Linked DNA regions of Callithrix jacchus. The protein of the gene in region 1 purifies or fractionates together with the protein of each later gene. This does not show direct contact. Links are inferred from orthologs where the notes say so. Each region holds a gene or a part of one and is shown in the gene's direction. Other genes may lie near its edges.

Region 1 (3,747 bases):
GTGCTAAATGCCGCTGAGCTGTGCATTTAAAAAATGGTGAAATGGCAGGTTTTATGTTATGTGTATTTTATTTATTTGTTTATTTTTGAGACAGAGTCTTGCCCCGTCGTCAGGCGCCAGGGGAGTGCAGTGGCGCGATCTCGGCTCACTGCAACCTCCGCCTCCCGGGATCAAGGAATTCTCCTGCCTCAGCCCCCACCAGTCCCCCTCCCCCCCAGTAGCTGGGACTAGAGGCGCGCACCACCACGCCCGGCTAACTTTTTTTTTTTATTTTTAGTAGAGACGGGGTTTCACCATGTTGGCCAGGATGGTCTCGATCTCTTGACCTCGTGATCCACCCTCCTCGGCCTCCCAAAGTGCTGGGATTACAGGCGTGAGCCACCGCGCCCGGCCTATGTGTATTTTATAGTAAAAATGTTTTAACATGTGCATAATATATATCATTTTATTTGTCAATTAATTTTTTAAAACCACGTTAGAGCGGCCTTGCTCTGATGAAGGGGGGTGAGTAATTGACACTCAGGCGGTGGGCGCTGGGGCGAGTGTCCAGGCTCGCCACAAAGATTAAATGGACCCTGGATGGGTCTTACCCACCGTTCTGAGGTCCCACGGATTCTCTCAGTTCCAGCCTGGGAACATCGTAGGCGCTCAGGGGTCTGGCTACTCCCCTGCCCACCTGTGCACGCCCATCTCCCCCCTTCCTCTACCCTCCATCCCCTCCCCCGCGCCCCCATCTCGTGCCTCACGCGCACGCGCACCCGCGCCGTGGGAAGGCCAGCGAGTGCGCATGCTCCGCGCCGTGGGAAGGCCAGCCAGTGCGCATGCTCCGGAACCCGCCTCGCGTCGGTGTCCGCCCCTTTCCCTCCGAAAGGCGGCCTCGGGGTGCTGCGCAGGTGCAGCAGCCGGGGGGCGGGTCCTTCGCGGCTCCCGAGCCCGCTATCGCGAGAGGCCGGTGCGCGATCTTGTGGCCGCCCCTCCCCTCCCCCGGCCTCTCGGACTCCGGCTTCGGCGTCTGCCTGGATCGGGCCTCGGCGGCGGCGACTCCATCGTCTCAGCCCCGACGCCCCTCGGCTCTCCTCGGCTCCGTCCCGCAGCATCGGCCGCCCGATCCCGGCCCGTCCCCTATGGGCCCCGGATAGAGGCACCGCCGCCGCCGGCCCGCGGAGCCCCGATGCTGGCCCGGAGGAAGCCGGTGCTGCCGGCGCTCACCATCAACCCTGCCATCGCCGAGGGCCCGTCCCCCACCAGCGAGGGCGCCTCTGAGTGAGTGGGCAGCGATCTGCCGGGGGATCGGGGTGCACGGGGCAGGGGACCCTCGGGGGAGCACGGGGCGAGGGGTGCAGGGGGTTGGGGGTTCTTGGGATCGGCCGGGGGATCGGGGTGCACGAGGCAGGGAGCCCTGGGGGAAGGACAGGGCGAGGGGTGCAGGGGGTTCGCAAGGGGTGCACGGGGCAGGGGGAGGACGGGGCGAGGGGTGCAGGGGACAGGGGGTTCTCTAGGGGAGGGCAGGGCTAGGAATGCAGGGACCCCTCGAAAGAGGATGGGACGAGAGGTGCAAGGGGCTCTTGGAGGTGGACGGGGCGAGGGGTGCACGGCGCAGGGTGTCCTCGGGGAGGACTGGGCGAAGGGTGCACGGGGCAGAGGGTTTCTGGGCCAGTGATGGGACTTTGAGCAGTGAGATTGGGCGAGGGAAGGTCCTTGTGATGGAAAAGGTGGAGTGTGGGGCTCCTGGTGAGTGAAATTGGGATGAGGGAAGTCTCTGAGTAGAGAAGTTGGGGTGAAGGATGGGATCAAGGGTCCCTGAGCAGTGCGATTGGGTGAGGGAGGTCCCTGCAGTGCAGAAGATGGGGCGTGGAGCTTTTGAAAAGTGAGATTGGGGTGAGGGGAGTCCCTCAGGAGGAAAATCGGTGTGAGGGGTGTCCCTAAGAGGACAGAACAGGATAAGGGTCCCTGAGCAGTGACATCGGGATAAGCGGTGTCTCTAAGAGAGAAGAGTGTGGGGTCCCTGAGTAGTGAAATGGGGGTGAAGGGTTCCTAAGAGGAAAGAGCAGAGGAGTGCCTTAGTCATGAGATGAGGGTGAGGGGAGCCCCTGAGTAGGGAAATCGGGGTGCAAGGTGTTCCTGAGAGGGGAGGATGGGGTGAGGGTCCTTGAGGAGTGACAGCGGGGTGAGGGGAGGTCAGGCAGCCCTTGAGGAGGGAATTTGGGCAAGCGAGCTCCAGAGGAGAGCGGGTGGTGAGGGGTCCCCGAGTGATGAGACTGAGATGAGGTAGGGGTCCCAGGTAGGAGAAGATGGGGTGAGGGCCCCTCAATAATGAGGTTGGGCCAGGAGAGGTCCCTCTGGGAAAAGACCGGGCGTGGAGTCTTTGAGTAGCAGAACAGTGATGGGTCTTTGAGTAGTGAAATGGGGATGAAGGGGGAATGGGTGAGTGCTCCCTGAATAGTGAAATCTGGGAGGTGGGGGGGGTCCCTGAGTAATGAGATCCAAGTGAGGGGAGATCCCTTGGGGAAAAGATGGGGTTTGGAGTCCCTAAGTAATGAGATCAGGCCAAGGAGATGTCCTTGCAGAGAGAAGATGGGGTGCAGGGGCCCTGAGTTGTGAGATGGGGTTGAAGGGGTCCCTGGGAGGAGAGGATGGGGCAGGTACCTGCAGGGGAAAGGATGGGGTGTCCTGTGTAGTGAAGTGATAGTGAAATGAGTCCCTGTGGGGGAGAGGTGGGGTGAAGGGGTCCCTATGGGGGGAAAGACAGGGTGGGAGGGTCCCTGAGCCACGAGTCGAGAGTGTTGCACCTGGGGAGGACAGGCTTAGAGGTCTTGGGTGGGGAGTGGTCCTTCTGGGGTATGAGTCCCTGAGTGATGAGGTCGGGGTGGGGTGAGAAGGGCACCTACGGAGCCAGGGTGGTGGCAGGGGGGTGTCCCTCAGGGGAGAGGATGGGCTGAGGAGGTCCATAGAGAACCAGGAAAAAGGAAAGAGAGGGGGGATGGGGGGCTCCCAGGGATTCAGGATCAAGATATGAGGGGGGTCCTAGGGGGTCAGGATGGGGACGGGGTCTCCCAGGGGTTCAGGATCAAGATATGAGGGTGGTCCTAGGGGGTCAGGATGGGGTGGGGGGCCCTAGAGGGGTCAGGATGGAGGGGCTCTATGGGGGTCAGGGAGGGAGTTCTGGGGCATCTCAGGACAAGGGGGGTCCTAGGGGAGTCAGGACGTGGGGGCTCTAGTGGGGTGAGGATAGGAGTTCTAGGGGGTTCAGGATGGGGGGTTTTCTTTGGGGGAGTCTAGTGGGGTCAGGATAGGGGTTCTTGGGGGATCATGTGGGGGTCCTGGGGGATCCTGTTGAGGGGATTCTTGGGGGGTCAGGACAGGGGGTCCCAGGGGAGTCAGGATGGGCATCTCTGAGAGGATGTCTGCTTGTGGCGGTGCCCGGTGTGTGGAGTCCCCAAAGCTGGAAGCATGGTGAGGGGACAGGGAAGGGGGAGTGTGAGGATTGAGGAGGCGCAGGGGTGACGGGACCCTGCTGACCCCTGAAAGCAGAGGTGGAGATTCTAAAGCAAGTGGACTGGAAAACCTCGTGAGGGGCTGACCCAGTGCGGAAGCTTTGAGGAGGTGGAGGGCGAAGGCCTGGGTGAAGGAGTCTGAGAAAGAGGCACGATGCGGGGAGGGGTGCGGTGGCAGAATAGCACTGCTCCAGGATGAGGGAGGGGACTGGGTATTGTAGGTATACATTTGTGGGGTCACGCCAGGGTGACC
Region 2 (3,556 bases), on another chromosome or scaffold:
TTCACCATGTTGGCCAGGGTGATCTCAAACTCCTGACCTCAAATGATCTGCCTGCCGTGGCCTCCCAGAGTGCTGGGATTACAGGTTTGAGTCAAAGTGGGCCTCCAGCTACACTTGAGGAGAGACCCAGCATGAGTTTTCTCTCCTGCAGAAGTCACTCACTAAAGAAGTGCTTGGTGCTTCACTGATTCAGGCCAGGTAGACGGATGGTCTGGAGGAATGACAGTGTGGGGTCAGGGAATACCATATTTCATGCAATACTGGGTTTAGTATTTTGTAGTTAGGATGGGTTGGAGTCCAGCACAAATGTGGGGTAGTGGATCGTAACCATAGAGGTGTGCGTCTTAGGCAGCCATTACTGTGCATCTGCCACACACCTGGGGAAACACAGGTAGCCAAAGCCACAGCTCCACCAGCAAGGGGTTTCCAGTGTCATAAAGACAGACATGCACTGAAATGAAACCTGCACACATCAGGACTCTTTCTTATCACCTTTATGTTCCTGGCTCCTGGTACAATCCCAGGAACATTAGAGTTGGTCACTAAATATTTGACGTGCATGAATGAATGGGCAAAGGGTGATAACATGCCAGGTGCTTTGATAAAGCCCAGACGGGGGCCTCTGCGTCCATCTGGGGGACATGAGGAAGAGTCTCTGGAAGAAGGGTCATCAGGGCTGGATTTTGAGCCCAGCAGAGACCAGGAGCATGGGACTCTTAGCAGTTCAGGGAGGGTGATGTGAGGTGGTGAGGCCAAGTTCCGATCACACCTCAGGCAACTCGCTTAACAAGCTGGGCCCTGGTTTTCTCCCTCACAAAAGAAAAGACTCCATTAGGTGGACACTGGCATTCAGGGCATCATTCCAGATTCCCTAGAAACCATACATTCCCACCTTCTCATTTCACAGGCAGGAAACTGAGTCACAGATGGGCTGTTCCCTGCCCAGCCCCTTCAAGGAAAGCATGCGAGTTTTCCTTTCCTGAGTGAGTCTGTGTCAGGCTTCCTGTTGAGTGTTCACTTTCTACATGCTTGGCCCCTAATTCTCACTTTCTCTTTTCTTTCCCATTGACCCTGTCACCTTTTTATTGTGGGGGGGTGGCGGATGTGCTGTTCTGTCATCTCCCCCTTTCCCATCATCTGATTCCTCCACCTGTCCACACGGGCCCGACTCCATCACCTGCCGGGGCCGGACTGCGCTCTTCTCACGCCTGGCGGAACGGTCGCTGGGCACTCCCAGCCGCTGGAGGAGCCGCTACTATGGAAAAGGACGCTACGGCCACCCTGACTTTAAGAGCTCCTGTCCGGTTCTGGAGGAATAGTGTGTTCCTTCCCTCTCTGGCTGCCTGTCTCTGGTTGTCCTGACACAAACCCCGCTTCCTTTCTGTTGCTGCTTCCCAGCTTCTCCCATCTTTGTATCGTTTATTCTCGAAAACCAAAGTGAGGTTTCTGCAGCTGAAATGGCCACCAGCAAGGGTTACACAGGCTTGCATTTTTCGCTGGGTGAAAGAAGAGCCACAGCATGTGGCTGGGGCCTCTGTCCATACCACGAGTAGATGGATGGCTTGTCCCTGGGTCAGAGAGAACTTGGGTCATTGATCTGAGTCCCCAGGGGCCCAGTCACCCTGGCCAGAGCTCAAGAGAAGAGAATCCAGTGAAGCAGAATTACTCCTGGAGGTAGATTTGCTCATCAAGGGCTAAGGAGCCATGGGCCTGGGCCAGCCTCTTTATTAACGTGCTGCGACTGTGCCCTGCAGGAGCTTAGAGAGGGTTCTTTGTGCCCACGCTCCCTTCTGAGGTTGCAGTGCAGCCAAGCGTGGAGGATGGAGTCCGGGATGACCCTTCTCTCTGGAAGGGAAAGGGAGTCCGCCCAGCTGCTCTGGCCCGGCCTGTAGCTCCCAGCAGGCTCCGCATGAGGCTGTGGTCCTGACGCTGTTCTTTGCTTTCTTCTCTTTCCCCCCCGTAGGTTGTAGGCCTGGCTGCCTTGCATGCACCAGGAGCTTTCTTCCTCCTAATCAACAACTCGGCATCGTGACTTCTACTAAAATGCACAATGAGATGCGGGCACTAACCCAGGGGATGCCACCTCTGCTGCTCCAGTCGTCTCTCTCGAGCCCTTCTTTTGCTTTGTTTTTAAAACTGGCCCTCTGCCCCCTCCACGTGGCCTGCGTATGCCTGAGTAACTGTTCTCAGAGGATCCCACTAACTGAGCTCCCTCCCAGGCGGTCTGGCAGCTTCTAACTACCTTCCTGGACGTGACTTTGACTGCTCCCTTGTTCTTCTGAGGGCTGGTCTTGTTTTTGTTTGGGTGGCCCTGTCTTACTGCTAACACCTTAGTGAGATGCTTCCACACCCTACCAGCCTGTGAGCACTGAGTGTGTGCCTAGTGTGGGGTGGGCGGAGGTGGGGAGGGTGTTGGCTTAGCTTTTAACCCATGGGGATTTTGTCCAACAAGGAGTGGAATGATTTCAGAGCTGCCCTGACGCCGGCACCCTGGTCACAGGAACCCTCTGCTGGGCTCTTGCCTCTCAGTCCCGTCTGTAGAGTTGCATCAGAAGACACAGAAAGTTCTGTGGCCATGAAAAACACCAGCTCGGAAGGGTTGTGTCTTCAGTGGCACCCTCAGAAAAGCTGTCTTAAAACAAAGAGGTATCTGGCTCTAAAAATGTTTCATATGAAAACAAAGTCTCTCCCCTGTCCCCACCCTGCCACCCTGGCAAAATTATTCCCTTTACACCTGCCCAGTATGCCATAGACCAGTCCCCAGGTCGGCATTTGTTAAGAGCATGGCTGATGTCCCCCGCGGCAGTCACTGAGCTGTTTACTAAACGCAAGTTCCTATCCTCCCTCCCCAGCAAAATGTGCTGAACCAGATCTCTGGAATTGGGCTCTAGGAATCTGCGTTTCAGCCTGCTTCCCAGGTGGCCCTGATGCACCCCAGTATTCGGTAGATTTCTGAAAGGAACATGTCACATCACTCCTGGTATTTTGGGGTCGTGTTTCTCTTCTCTCTCAGTTCTACTTGGAGCAAGAGCTTTCCTGGGCCGCAAATGAGAAAATGATTCCGAGGAGCCCACAGCAGCACTGAGCATGCTGGGAACTTGGGACTCGGAGATGAAAGAGCCACTGTTGCTCCAGGTAGAACTACCTGGAGTGTGGCTGGGGCCTTGGATGCCATGTGACCAGGGCAGCTCTGCCAGCGCTATTGGCCAACAATCATTTTCATTTCTTGTTGGAGGCCAGATCCTCTGCTCCGCTCATTTCCTAGCTAGTGTTACCCTAATTCTGATGAAGACCCATGGGGCTATAATTCTTGTTTTTGTTCCTCTTCACAGCATTAACAGCAGCAAAGTTGTACCCCGGTTTGAAAGGTTTGGCTTGGGCGTCCTGGAGTCCAGTAATTCAAAGATGTAGCCAGCCATGTGGTTTTTCTGCTGCTGATCTCTTTCTTTTTAAAATGCATTTCTGAAACATCCAAACCACCACCACAACAAAAAATAGACTGCCTTGCCCAGCGCTGCCAACAAGGAGCACGTGTCCTAGATTCAGACTGTTCGCA
Region 3 (3,647 bases), on another chromosome or scaffold:
GGGCTGGTCTTGAACTCCTGACCTCAGGTGATCCACCTGCTTCAGCCTCCCAAAGTGCTGGGATTACAGGTGTGAGAGCCACCATGGCTGGCCTACCACTGGATTTTTAAATTTCTTTCTCTCTGTTTTTTTTTTTTTTTGATTCAGTTTATACCAGGACTGAAAACCTCAATTTGAATTCATAACAGTGGGGATTTAAAAATGTCTGTTCTTTCTAATAAGCTATTAGAAGACTTTAAAAAAAAAAGCCCTTCCTACTTCTAGGCCTTAGCCTGTATCATTTCCCGGCCTGATGTTTTCTGTCCTTGGTGGGACGATGCCCTTCCTGTCCTTCACAGGCCAGCATGAATGTCACTTCCTTAGGAGGCTTTCCCTGATCACTCTACTAAAGTAGCCCCCCCACCCCGTATGCTTGTATTTTATTTTTAATTTCTAAAATGGAAATTTTTGATTGAAATAATTGTAGATTCACATGCAGGTGTAAGAAATAATATAGACATCCCTTCTACACTTTGCCCGGTTCTTCCCAATGGTAACATTTTGAAAACATAGTACAGGATCACCAAATACAGGATCACAGGATATTGATGTTACAATCCACCAATCTTGTTTGGATTTACCCAGCTTTATTTTCACACACGTGTGTGTGTGTGTGTGTGTGTGTGTGTGTCTGTGGGTGCATTTAGTTCTATGTATTTTTCTTTTTGAGGCAAGGTCTCACTCCGTCATCCAGGCTGGAGTGCAGTGGCACGACCAACTGCGGCTTAAGTGATCCTCCCACCTTAGCCTCCCAAGTAGCTGAGACTACAGAGTGCATCACCATGCCTGGCTGATTTTTTTACTTCCTGTACAGAGAAGGTCTTACTGTGTCACCCAGGCTGCTCTTGAACTCCTGGGCTCAAGTGATCTTACTGTCTTGTACTTTTGGTATTATTTGATCCCAAAGTGCTGGGATTACAGTCACGAGCCACCACAATGGGTCTACTTCTCTGTGATCTGATTACCTGTGTAGGTTCATGTATTTACCGCCGTCAAGATGCTGGAGAGTTCCAGCACTCCAGGGTTCCCTCGTATTGCTCTTCTCTCACCACATCCCCTTCCCTCCTACTCCCTTTTCTGCCATCCCTGACCCCTGGCAACCGTCAGTCTATCCTTTGTTTCAAAAATATTGTCATTTCAAAAATATGTATAAATGGAGTCATACAGTATGTAACCTTTTGGGGTTGGCATTTTTTGCTCAGCCTAATTATCCGGAGATTTGTCCAGGTTTTTGTATGTATCGGCACTTGGTGCCTTCTGGTTGAGCTGTGTAGCACATGGTTTGTGTGTAGAGAGAGAGCCTGTAGCCCAGGCTGGAGTGCAGGGCCGCAGTCTTGGCTCACTGCAATCTCTGCCTTCTGGGTTCAAGCAATTCTCCTATCTCAGCCTCCCCAGTAGCTGGGATTACAGGTGCATGCCACCATGCCTGGCTACTTTTTTGTATTTTTAGTAGAGACAGGGTTTCACCATGTTAACCAGGCTGGTCTCGAACTCCTCACCTCAAGTGATCTGCCCATCTCGGCCTCCCAAATTGGTGAAACTACAGGCGTGAGCCTCTGTGCCCAGTCACCCATATTTTTATCAGATCATTCTGTTTACTTCCCAGCACCAATAACCATGTGAAATCCTTTAGTGAGCATGCTTTCTTGTCTATCATGATTCTGCTTTTGCAGAATGTAAGTCCAGGAGACCAGGGTCTCGTCTGTGTTGCTTTTGTGTCTTTCTCAAGCAAAAGGGCATAGTTGGCACTCACAGAATGTTTACTGGACAAATTCATGAATGAGAACATGGCGACATAGATCTGGAAGAAGTATGCGGCGACCAATAAGTGGTCAGGGAGGGACTAAGGATGAACTTGACTGCCTTGGAATTTGTGTATCTCACATGAGGGTTAAGTATGAAAATTTCCATGTAAGGGAACAGTTATCCTTTAAAGTCCTTTAAATCACTTCGAGACTTCCGGAACTTGGATCTTGGGAAGCTCAAAAGGCAAGAATTAACTTCTTTGCTTTTCTGAGCATTTGGGCTGTGGGGTCTTCCCAGCGATGGGGCAGAGGAAGGCAAGGCTGTTGAATGGGGAATAGGGTAACAGGGTCAATTTTTGGAGGGGCCAAGTGGGGGTGGTTGGATTTATGCAAATCTGCTTATGATGTAATGTGGGCGTGACATATCCTAACATGCATATGATAGGATGTCTATATGATGTAATGGGCATATGAAATAGCATGCATATGATGTAATGTGCATATAATATGACATGCATATGATGTAATGTGCATATAATATGACATGCATATGATGTAATATGCATATGATATAATGTGCACATGATGTAATATGCATATAATGTGCATATGATGTAACATGCATTCGATGTAACAGGTATATAATTAGCAGGCCTATGATGTGATGGGCACATGGCGTAATGTGCATATGACATAATTTGCATATGAGATAACATATATACGATTTAACAGGCATATAGTGTAACATGCATATGATGCTATGGGCAGGTGGTGTAATGTGCATATGATGTGATGGTGTATATGGTGTAACTCACCTGGCTTTCTCATGGCTTACCCATTGTCTCTGCTCTTCTGTTCCAACTCAGGAGGCAACCTTTCCAAACAAGACTGGACCATCCAGTGGCCCACCACAGAGACCGGGAAGGAGAACAATCCCGTGTGTCCCCCAGAGTCCACCCCGTGGATCCGCACCCATCTCTCCCAGAGCCCTAGGGTCCCATCCAAGTGCGTCCAGCACTATTGTCACACCAGCCCCACTCCCGGGGCCCCTGTGTACACCCATGTGGAGAGGCTTACTGTGGACGCCTACCCAGGCTTGTGCCCACCCCCGCCACTGGAGTCGGGACACCGTTCCCTGCCCCCATCGCCCCGGCAGCGGCACGCAGTCCGCACCCCGCCACGGACCCCCAACATCGTCACCACCGTGACCCCACCGGGCACACCACCTATGAGGAAGAAGAACAAGCTGAAGCCTCCAGGGACCCCGCCACCCTCCTCCCGAAAGCTGATACACTTGATCCCGGGGTTCACCGCGCTGCATCGGAGCAAATCCCACGAGTTCCAGCTGGCGCACCGCGTGGACGAGGCCCATACACCCAAGTGAGTACACTCGGTGGGTGCCCTGGGGCAGTCCAGCCCTGGCCTGTGAGGGGCTGCGCCGTGGCCCCAGGAGCTGCCCAGGTCGGGGAAGCCGGGTACAGACTTGTGTTCCAGTCTCTGGTTGAATGAAGGATGGCTTTTTACAGAGGGTTCTGAGAAAATGAATAGAACAGAATTTCCCAGAACTGGCCATTTAAAAAATATGATTAATACTCTATGGCCTAGGGGCTAAATCTGATACCCGGCCTGATTTTGTAAATGAAATGTATTGGAACACACCCATGATCATTTCTTTATGTGTTGCCTATGGCTTCTTTTGTGTAACAATGGCAGAATGAGAATGGCCCACAGAGCTGAAAATATTTACCATCTGGCTTTTTACTGAAAACGTTTGCCAACCCCTGCAGAGTCTAGCCTAGGGCTGCTCCTAGAAATAGGATACGAGGCATATATTAACCTTCAACTTTCTAGTAGTCACATTAA

The links.
Region 2: the proteins of MAP2K2 (region 1) and KSR1 purify together in Homo sapiens (affinity purification with mass spectrometry; 4 studies listed by BioGRID and IntAct, with this or other methods). This does not show direct contact. The link is inferred for Callithrix jacchus from reciprocal best matches to the Homo sapiens genes MAP2K2 and KSR1.
Region 3: the proteins of MAP2K2 (region 1) and KSR2 purify together in Homo sapiens (affinity purification with mass spectrometry; 3 studies listed by BioGRID and IntAct, with this or other methods). This does not show direct contact. The link is inferred for Callithrix jacchus from reciprocal best matches to the Homo sapiens genes MAP2K2 and KSR2.

The regions. Positions count from the first base shown.
Region 1 is NC_133523.1:3,866,119-3,869,865, reverse strand, and holds the start of MAP2K2 (dual specificity mitogen-activated protein kinase kinase 2), read left to right. Parts: upstream 1-989; 5' UTR 990-1,171; coding exon 1,172-1,263; intron 1,264-3,747. UniProt on the Homo sapiens protein: Catalyzes the concomitant phosphorylation of a threonine and a tyrosine residue in a Thr-Glu-Tyr sequence located in MAP kinases. Activates the ERK1 and ERK2 MAP kinases.
Region 2 is NC_133506.1:105,807,706-105,811,261, reverse strand, and holds part of KSR1 (kinase suppressor of Ras 1), read left to right. Parts: intron 1-1,237; coding exon 1,238-1,318; intron 1,319-3,332; coding exon 3,333-3,411; 3' UTR 3,412-3,556.
Region 3 is NC_133510.1:120,814,213-120,817,859, reverse strand, and holds part of KSR2 (kinase suppressor of Ras 2), read left to right. Parts: intron 1-2,650; coding exon 2,651-3,164; exon of another isoform or gene 3,165-3,647. UniProt on the Homo sapiens protein: Location-regulated scaffold connecting MEK to RAF. Has very low protein kinase activity and can phosphorylate MAP2K1 at several Ser and Thr residues with very low efficiency (in vitro).